Caenorhabditis elegans: one gene and its partner. The protein of the gene in region 1 purifies or fractionates together with the protein of each later gene. This does not show direct contact. Each region holds a gene or a part of one and is shown on either strand. Other genes may lie near its edges. The genes, in order: sem-4 and egl-27.

Evidence for each region.
Region 2: the proteins of sem-4 (region 1) and egl-27 purify together in Caenorhabditis elegans (affinity purification with western blotting, with the first as the bait; one study listed by BioGRID). This does not show direct contact.

Annotation. Positions count from the first base shown.
Region 1 is NC_003279.8:7,036,830-7,042,060, forward strand, and holds the start of sem-4 (Spalt-like protein sem-4), read left to right. Parts: upstream 1-2,070; 5' UTR 2,071-2,078; coding exon 2,079-2,154; intron 2,155-3,811; exon of another isoform or gene 3,812-3,882; intron 3,883-5,231. UniProt on the Caenorhabditis elegans protein: Transcription factor, involved in positive and negative modulation of transcription. Binds to multiple DNA sequence motifs in the regulatory elements of target genes, including homeobox selector egl-5 and LIM homeobox mec-3.
Region 2 is NC_003280.10:6,833,342-6,838,174, forward strand, and holds the start of egl-27 (Egg-laying defective protein 27), read left to right. Parts: upstream 1-1,679; 5' UTR 1,680-1,739; coding exon 1,740-1,824; intron 1,825-2,113; coding exon 2,114-2,232; intron 2,233-2,245; exon of another isoform or gene 2,246-2,352; intron 2,353-3,285; coding exon 3,286-3,426; intron 3,427-4,510; coding exon 4,511-4,636; intron 4,637-4,685; coding exon 4,686-4,750; intron 4,751-4,833. UniProt on the Caenorhabditis elegans protein: Transcription factor which promotes stress survival and delays aging. Required for cell cycle progression and development of the mesodermal and endodermal embryonic lineages.

The DNA of each region.
Region 1 (5,231 bases):
CGGGGAGGCTTCTCCTCATCATCATCGAGAGCCCCACACAGTAGTAATTCATTTATCTCTGCCTCTCTGCACCCTCTCACTTCTCGTTCTCACTATCTCAAATGGGCAATTTAAAAGTGGGCGGGGCTTTTGGGTCTCGGAACTGCCGGGGGCCCAAACTACTTGCATCTCTATCAGTTCTGAAACGGAGTGAAAAAGAAAAAGAACAAAATGGGCGGAGTCATGTATGAGGGAGAAGACGTGTCGGTCTCCCGTGGCGGTCGCCTTCTCTCTCTCTTTTGCAACAACTCATATTTTACCAGATCATATCTCGTCCCTCACACAGGCGCCCGGAGCGTCAGGTACAAGAATGAGTACCTGGCGCGAATCGAATCGAATATGTCTCCCCTCACCACCACCACCACGGGGGTGACAATTATCATCAAATTCGTCTCGAATCATCGACGACGTCTTCTGATGAAGAGAGAAAAAAAAAGACTTTTTCTGGGGTTGACTGTGTTCATTAATTCAATTAGTGTTTTATCAATCATTCAACAAATCATGCAAGTAATTCAGTTATTCATTCATTGATTTGCCATTTTTAGAAATTTCTGCTTTTTTAGTCAAGTTCTGAGGTTGAGACTTTCTTGAGAACTTTCAATAATGTAGTTCCATTTTCACATAAAACAATTTCAACCTGCCATGTTATTTTTAATATCTCAGCTAACACCTTTCAGAGCTCACTTACAGAAGCTTAACATCTGCAAGACGGAGCAACCATTTTTTCTGTAGTCTGGCGTCGAGCATGATTTTTAAAAATGATTTGTACTAGAAACTAATTGTGACGCCACAATTTGCGAGAAAGGGACACTGTCACTTTATAGCGATATATGTATCTATAACAAATTTCTGGGTTAGCTTTGCACTAAGGCTTGTATCTGAAAACGTCCGATCCTCATTTCCTATCTAAATTTAGAAATCAAACTTTACAACTCAACCTAAAATAATTCTAGTCTACAAGATCTGATGACTCATAATCCGAAAAGCCTGTAGAACACACACAAACAGAACTCAGACCCCACCAAATTTAACGGAATCTTCAACCGCATCTCGCACTTTATATTCATACCGATCCGATCTTTTTTCCATCCTTTTTTTCCAACTATTTCAATTGCAACACCGTATCCACCTCATGGAAAAGGGGAACCGCTCACTCACTCATTTTATACGATTTTCATCTTCTACACCCTCACTTACTCACATCATCACTCACTACCTTCCCCTGATCATTTTTTGAGATATTCTTTCTTTACCCAACCATGAACAACAAAATTTCATATTTACACTCGAAAAAAATCATCCGATTCAAGATTCTTCTGCGGCTATACTCGTCATTTGGCGCGAACTGATTGCCTATGGTTGATCCAAAAATTACTCTTTCAAAAACTGACAAAGCTCGGGGCAAACTTGAGAAAGTCCTGGTTTATGATGTACCCAAATTAAACTCACGTTTTATCTAGCTGTTGTGAAACTTGTATTGTATCGTTTTAAACTTGGCTGAGACGCTGAAAAGAGTTAGATCAATTTTGGGCTGAATCTGGGTGCGGCCTAAACCCAGTCATATAACCAAGTATTTCGTAACTTTTGCAAAGACAAATGGCGAGCCGGTGCATAATTCAAAAATGTTCATTCCAAAAATGCATTATGGGCAAATTTAGACTATAGGCTCGCCGCTCGATAACTAGCTCATTCGAGCAATATCATTTATGATTAATGACTCTATTTTAAAGTTCAATTTTTTATCGTCAATTGAATTCCATTCCCATTCCCTTACTGCCATCTCGTGTCTTCAATACTTTTACCATTTTACTCTAATAATATAAATTTTGATAATAGCCTTGTTTTCGCAATATGTGCCCCCTTGTCCCGTCGCCTTCTCATCTTTCTAATATAAATCGTTTTTGTTCTGTCTCTTTTCTCTGTGTGTGTTGTTTTGTATCCTTTTCTCTGCTTTTTTCCCTCTTCTTGTCCACTATTACTCTTTCATTCTTTGCCTATCATGCTCATCTTCTAGTAATTTCAACTTTTCAGAGCTCCAGATGAATGAGCTGCTCGCCGAGATGGCCGCGGTTTCATCCCGCAGAAAACAGTCAAAACCACGTCGAATGTCTGGTGGTAAGTTGAGGGAAATGAGAGGAAAATGCGGGGTGTTTAATGAAGTAAAAGACAAGAAAATGAAACAAGGCGATGATGATCGACCTTGAAATCTTGAAATTTTCTGCGAAAATAACAAAGTTGAATATTAAAACTTAAAACGCACTTTTGGAATGTTTCAAAATCATTTTAGTTCTACATTTTTGAAGGTTTTTAGACTTTCTAGAAAAACCAGTTATCACTAGTTTTTATGGGTTTTTGGGACATAAGTAATGAAAATTGGAAGGAGACAATAAATTGGTGTAAATTTACAATTTTAATGTCAATTCCTCTTATCAACTTATCAATATTATTCATATTACTTCGAATAGTTTCGGACGAGACATTTGCTAGAAAACCAGTATTAAAAAAAAATTAATATTACCAAAACCATCCTAGTTTGGCATTTTCATTTAAATATAATTTATCATATATTTCTCGTTCATTCATTTTTTTAAGTTTTAATGAGAAATCTGTCACATCTGTTCCACTTCAAGGAACACTTTTTCATTAAAATGTTTCCAACACAGAACCTTGTCAAATATGATAACATATCTCTTATCTCTATCTCTTTCGTATCTTCTTACCTCATTTTTAGTGTTTTTTCAATGCTTTTCCTTCGATTCTTTCAATCATAACCAATCAAAACCTACCGTAGTCCAAAGAGCTCCTCCCGAAGACCAGAGACACTTATTATATTTCCATTCATCTTTTCATATTGCTCCGCCCCTCCGTCACATTTCCATCCAATCATAAGCGACTATGAGGAGAAAGTGAGAGAGAAAAAAGAGCAAGAAAGCAGAGAAACGAGAGAGAGAGAGAGAAAATGTCCAAATATGGGAGTGCAAGGGGAAGGGAGAAAGAGTTTCGGAGAAAAAGAAAACCAATCAATTTGGCAAGTTCTGAGACAGACAGACATGAGAGAGAAAGGATGAGAGCATGTTGAAAAGGGGATGACAATTTGACAATTTGAACTTGGTGTCCAGCTCAAAGAGCAAGACTGAAATTTGTTTTGAAAGTTTTTAGTAGATAATGTTAACCAAAACGAGTTTCACAAATATTTCACCTGTGACAATAAAAGTTTAATTTTCCATTCAGTACTGTCAAACATTTCAACAGCTGTTGACAATTCGATGAATGTGAAGACCCAGTCTCTTAGAGCATGACTTTGTATGCAGAATATTTCTTGGTACTTTCTGCCTGTGTATGTGCATACAAATTTTACAGTCGTATATTTTCTATAAACATGTTGAAATTTAAGATTAACCTTTTTTTATTTAAAGATATATAGGCTTACTATTAGGCCGAGGTTGCCTTGCAGGCACGTATGCTCAAAAAAATTTTATATTCATCTTTGAGAAAAGAAGTGTATCATTTGTATCATAATTTCCGGTATCAGTTGTCTCTAAACCACCACCATCAGCTCTCGGCTTCATCTTCACAAATCATTTTTTGTGACGAACAAGTGCTCTTGTGTGTGAGACTTGAGACTTATTGTCATCTCATCTCTCTGCTGATTCTTCCATTGGCTGAGCCCATTATTATTTTTTTCTATTGAAAGCCTTATTGATTCTCTCTTTTTTGTGCTTCAAGTGGCAACATTATTGTGTTCGAGGTCCGCGAGCCGCCGCCTTCGACACGAGTCGAGTCGAGCCATCATAAAATCGAATTTATGATCGAACACAAAAGAAGTTTAGAGTGGCAGGATGAAGACGTTGTTGTTGCGAATCAGAATTCTTCTTCTGTGGGTCTTCTCCCCTCGAAACTCGATCATTTATTATAGTGTTTTTGTGTAATACGAGAGAAATAGTGTGCAATATCAGAGCTTCCTCCTTCAACAAGCAATATGAATTGGTTGGACGATGGAGACGAAAATTGAAACATTATGTGTGTGTGTCACAATGTGTGTGTGAGAGTGTGTATTTGAGGACCAGCAGAGTATCATCATCTCATATATTTTATGGATTTTTGATGGTAGCAGAGGTAGATGAGTTGAAAAAAAAGATATTTGGGGAGGAGGAGCGTTTGGATAACACTCATTAACATTGGAGGACTCTTTATGAGCGCGTGAGAAGAGAATGAATGAGACTATTATTGAATGGATGATATCAAACCAACTGACTCGCACACAGATAAGATGATAAAAATGAAGAGTTTTTGAGTTTTTGCTCATGAGTTGCAGTTACCAGAGTACTTTATTTTAAGGGGCTCAATTACGATATTTGCACAATCAAACAGTTCAAAACTGAAAATAGATAGCGTCATGTAATTCTCGCCTCGAACGAAAGTTTGGGTAGTTCCTTTGAATCCAGTACTATCTGATAATTGAAAGATTTCAGCTGCAAAAGGCAACTCGTCACCAAATTCTCAGCCAAATTTCGCCAACTTCGGCCACTTCCGTAAATGGCACCTAGAAAAACGCTAAAGTTGGTTAAGAAATATCGTTGATTTTCCGAGCAGTTTGACGAGATTTTTTGTTTTAACTTTCAGCTGAAATTTTTTTGAGAGCAGATTTTTCGAGTCTATTTACTACTACTTTGGAGGACCGTAATTTTGCTCTTAAATTGAATTCGGAAAAAATTATAATTGTAAAGGTCTCTAGGGGTATGCAAACATTTTGGAATATTTTTGGAAATTTTAATTTAAAAAAATTAAAGCCTAAAAATATCCAATTTTGAGCAGTCTTCCAGTTCTCAAAGAAATGAATCATTCACTTTAAAAATTTTCAAATTGAAATTTACTTTATACAGTTAATGTACAGCGACATTTTGTGTGGTTACCCAAAATTATATTAAAACAATTGAAGATATCTAGAAAGTTCAAAATTTGTTGCTTCCAGTGTTTTTTGAAGAAACAGGATTTACTTTGGATCTTTTGATCTAAATACTTGAAGTTGTCGTTTTGCTTCGATGTTTTAATTTGTTCGTTTGAAAACTTCAAATTATGTCTCTAATTGTACAATCATAGTCCCCTTTCTCAATCGGCCGTTATCATATTTACAGTATCCTCCATCTTTCCTCTGTAGACACATCGTGTCCCAATCGACTCGAATTAGTTGT
Region 2 (4,833 bases), on another chromosome or scaffold:
TTTGCAATTAATCCTCAACTCGTATTTCTCTTTGTATGTCTTGAAAATTGAAATTTAGACAGTTTAGTTGTTATCACGTCAGTTTTGTGTATTCCACTTGAACTATCTATCTGGTTGGTTAGTCTCCTCCCACCCATGAGTCTTTCATTTATGTTTGTCTAGCCTGACAATTGACCTGACCACCAACCATCAGGTCTCTCCCACGTTTTGTATTTTTATTATGCACATTACGAACTGTGTGAAAATGGCTGTCGTATCATAATAAATTTTGGAAAAAGAAAACATCTGAAATGTTGCCAGTTCTTTGATTCTCAAAATGTTCAAATGATATTCATAAGACTCTCATCTTGTTTGCCATATTGTCATTAGCAGGTCATCCTCTTCTATTCAATTCTGGCTAATCCCCCGTTCCCCCTTTCTCTTATAATTCATCGTTCCTCACTGTTTGGTTGAATGAAAGAGCACAACAACACTTGTAATGAGTTATTTCATATTTTGAAAAAGTTGCCACGTCATGGAAAGCCAAGACACAGTGGCGGTCTGCTTTGAGGTCGTCACTGTCACCGTCGAACTGTTTTTGATCGCAAACATACATCGGTTGTCTCGTCTCTCGGGTTGTCTCTCTCTACCTCTCTCTCTCTCTTTTCCTTCGGTGACTACCTCTCCTCCCTTCCCGCCACACCGTCCTCCCCCTTCCACCGACTATTCCACCTTTTTGTGGTATGTACTAGCACTATTCTCTGCGTCTGTTTTACAGTTCTCATTCTCTCACACACACTTATTTTTCCCCAATTCTTATGGTAGTTGAATGTGAGTACAGTGTCCACTAGGATCTAGACTTCAGGACTCATTCTGAAAGTTGAGCCGAGGTCACGTGTGAAAACTGAGCTCTTTTCCTACACCTTGCCCCTTCTTGACAATTGTCGTTCTTCCTCTTTCTTATCATCACTTGACTTTTTTGAGCGACATGCTGGACAAGACAAGTCGTTTAATGGATGATGTTGCGATTTACTATCATCTGTTAGTATGCGCTAAGTAGGTGCGAACGTATGACGAGTTACAGTAATTTATTAAGCTTGAAGGTTTTTGAAGGATTTTATGAAGTTTGATCAAGTTCTTGAGTTAAGTAAACATTTTCTCTTGTGATCTTAATTGATTGTGAAAATAGTGAACAATTCAAGTTCTTGAAAAGATTTGATTTGTGTAAGTTAGAAAATGTGTGTTACCAATTACTGTTGTATTTGACTTCTAATGGATCTTCCGAGTCAATCAGATTCCTTGGCGCTCGGTGGTCCTGCTCCTGCTGCTAAATACACCAAAATATTTGATGAATGCGGTGCGACGGCGATGCCGCCAATGTCTCTTTTCCTAACGGACCAGTCGTGTATGTGCTCTGTGTATGTGCCCCACTAACCGACGACGACGACCCTCGCCCGCCCCACGCCACTCCCACACCCCACCCCGTCTTCATCCCTTTCCTCTCTCCCGTCTTCCTTTCTTCTATCCCTCGGTGCTGTTCTAGTTTGTGTTTTTACTAGGCTCTAGAGGGTTCCGGAGGGAAAGAAAAAAGAACTTCTGTGCTTTTCATCACCATCTTCCTCTCTCATCTCATCTTTTCATTTTTTATCCAGCTGATTTTCGTGTGTTCTCAATGATTCAAATTAAGACCAATTCTTTAGGATAGTTCATCATTTTTGGGGGAGCAAACTGGAAAAACTAAAAAAGGCAACAAGACAAAGATGAGCCGCTTTGACAGCCAGTGCAGTAGTGAAGACGTCAACAAAGAGGACGAATGTGTGCCGTCGTCATCTGAGGATAGCCAAGGTAATGAAATTGTAACTGAACCGTCTCTGTGTCTTCTTGTATGTCATGTCAACCTAGATACGGGTATTCCCAGTGGGGGCCGTTCTTTTAGAAAGATGGCCCCATCTTCACCAGCGTAAAATGTTATGATTCTCGCTGCGGATTAGCGCTTAGCGGATTAGTCGAACAAATGTACGAACACATAAGAAGACACATGCGGCAATTCTTTTTTGTAACTTTTGATTGTGTGATCTAGATTCTAAAGACCGCCTACTTGAAATAATTTAAAATATAAATTATCAAATTTCAGACGGCGTTTCTTCCCCAATGGAAAACGATGACGAACCAGAATTTTCCCAAAAGCATTACGATATTGAACCATGTTATTATAGTCTTACAGGCAAATCGGATAGGAATTGCCGTGGAATAGTAAGTCATTTTTTAATTCAAAAATCTGAAATTTGAGTAATTTCCTGTACTCTTTAATAGTTATAATCTGAATAGACATCTTATGTATGCGTATCTTCTTCCCCTTCAATATCTCAACACTCGAAAAACCAATTAATTGTCGTTCTGTCGAGTTTTTGGAAGAGACACAGACATTTAGGCAGTTTAGTGTGTAGGGGAGGTCAAAAGGAAGAGGAGACGCTGGTCATAATTCAAATTCTCTCCCGATTAGACGAACATCGCTACAAATAGACAAAAACCTGGATTTCAATCTTTTTTCACCCGTTTTTTCTGCGAAACGTTTTGATGGCTAAACCTCAAACATTGCGCTTACACACACACACATTGCGAGCTTCAAATCGAGAAGAACCAGATAGTCAAACACTGAGAAGATCGCGAGCCGAAAAAAAAACCGAAGTGACCTCTCTTCTCGTTTCGTCAAAAATTGAAAATTGAACTTTGACTAGATTAGTTGTCAGTCGGCAGCATACTTCCTCGAATTGTGCGCATGTTTTCCAAAAAAAAGCGAAGCGAGGCAAAAACAGCTGCCCAATTTTTGATCTGAAATTCGAGACAATTGCTTTTTTCTGGCTGGCAAGGAAAGCAAAGTCAACAGAAGTTTTCGGAGACCCCAGAGAGATGCTTCTTCCCTCAAGAGAGTACAAACAAAAGAGACGCTTGAGAGTTAAAAAGATAGATACTATGCGACAATAGACACACAAACACAAAAAAACATTTTTTGCCGCATTATATGATTTGTTTGTTTGTTTTGAAATGTGCGCTCATAATATTTCATTCTCTCACAGTTTAGTGTTAGTTGGCATTGACCTAGTGTGAGACGAGGTGCCAATTGACAACTGAAGCTAATGAGAGGAGAGACGCAGACGACAAGTACAAGTGAACACTAGTTCATTTCACCTCAAAGATACAGAGAAACCGGAAAGATAAATAAGACAGACTAGTTTCTAATATAATATCGTTAGTTGAAAGTTTGAAACATACAAATCTACTGATTTACTAAACATATTTTTTCAGGTATACCGGTATCGACAAGACAGTGATCTAAAAGGGTTTCAATCACATGATGGCACATTGTACAGGCTACGAGATTCAGTATTCGTAGAAGTGTCACAAAACGAGCCGTATGTGATAGCGGCAATATGCGGATTTAAATATGTGAGTAATGAGATCGTGAGGCATGTCAGCAGATGGTTCTGCCATATTAAGGTTTTTGAAATAATTGTTTCTTGGAAACTTGTTCCTCAAAAATCAGAACCACAATAGATCAAATCGTTCCACAGTGTTACAATGAAATATTTATATAATGGGCAACACTCAGTGAATGTAGCGATAAGATAACAAATTCGGCATTTAAAAATTAATGTTGCGAGAAACCGGGTGATGTTTGACAATTTCGAAATAAATTGATAGAAAAGGGGGTTTAAGGACAAATTGAACTTTTTGGAAAATGAAAAATGAGGTTTTCTTTTTGAAACTAGAGATTCTTTGATACTTTATAATCTCTGCTGACCTCTTCTCAAATTCCAAACAACTATCAATTTACTTGTTCTCTATATCTCTTCATTCCCTTGTTCCTTGAACTACTGGTTTAGAGGAGGAGAGAACCGCACTTGTGTAAATATTGACACAGTTTTAGTGGGTTCATGTATTCCCTTCATGTTTTCCTTTCGACTGATAGCACTGAATACTTTTTTAAACATAAAAGTATAAGGAAGATGTCATTGAGTCATTTGCCCACTTGTTCGTCCTTCAGAACCCACTAAAAACCGTGTCATAATCGGATTGCGCGGGAAGTCGTTGAGAATTAGAGAATGCATTGAAAGTGAAAAAACATAAACTTTTTAATTCAAACACTTTTATAGTATCATCACAAAAACATACATTTTAGTATACACAATAAAAGTAGAAAGTTTGCTCACTTTTATGAGCTGTGAGAAGAACATAATGTTCCTCTTTGTTGTTGACAAAGCACATTCACGTGACCAACTGATGAGCTTATTTTAGAATTTAAATAGGAAATTGGGATAACTAGTTTTTAAAGCCAAAATTCTAAGAGCAACAAAATTACAATATTTTCTAGTTTTGACAACGCAGGGATAATTTTTCTTCTGGATTTTCAAAGCCGAAAACTGAGTTTATCAAAAAAGGTAAATTCCTTTGACAGGGCTACACATAGTATTCAAAAAATGATAAGAGATTATATATTTTTCAAAACAAAATAAAGAATACCAATTTTCAGACAAAACGAGATCACGTGGTAGTGAAACTTACGAGGTACTTCAGAGCAGACGATATACCTGAGATATCTTTAAATTTAATGAAACAAGAACGAGCTGAGCTTGAAATCAATCCACATTTATGTCCAGTTAGTTTAATTTTTAAGATTTTCAGAATTACTCACATTTATTTTTCAGCAATCATTAAATCGAGAATTATTTAATTCGGAATTACAAATTACACAACCAGTTTCATGTTTAAGGTGAGTTCTTTTTTAAATTTAAAATACTAAAAAAATTGAAATTAAAATAACTTTAAAATAATTGAAACACTGGAAAAATTCTT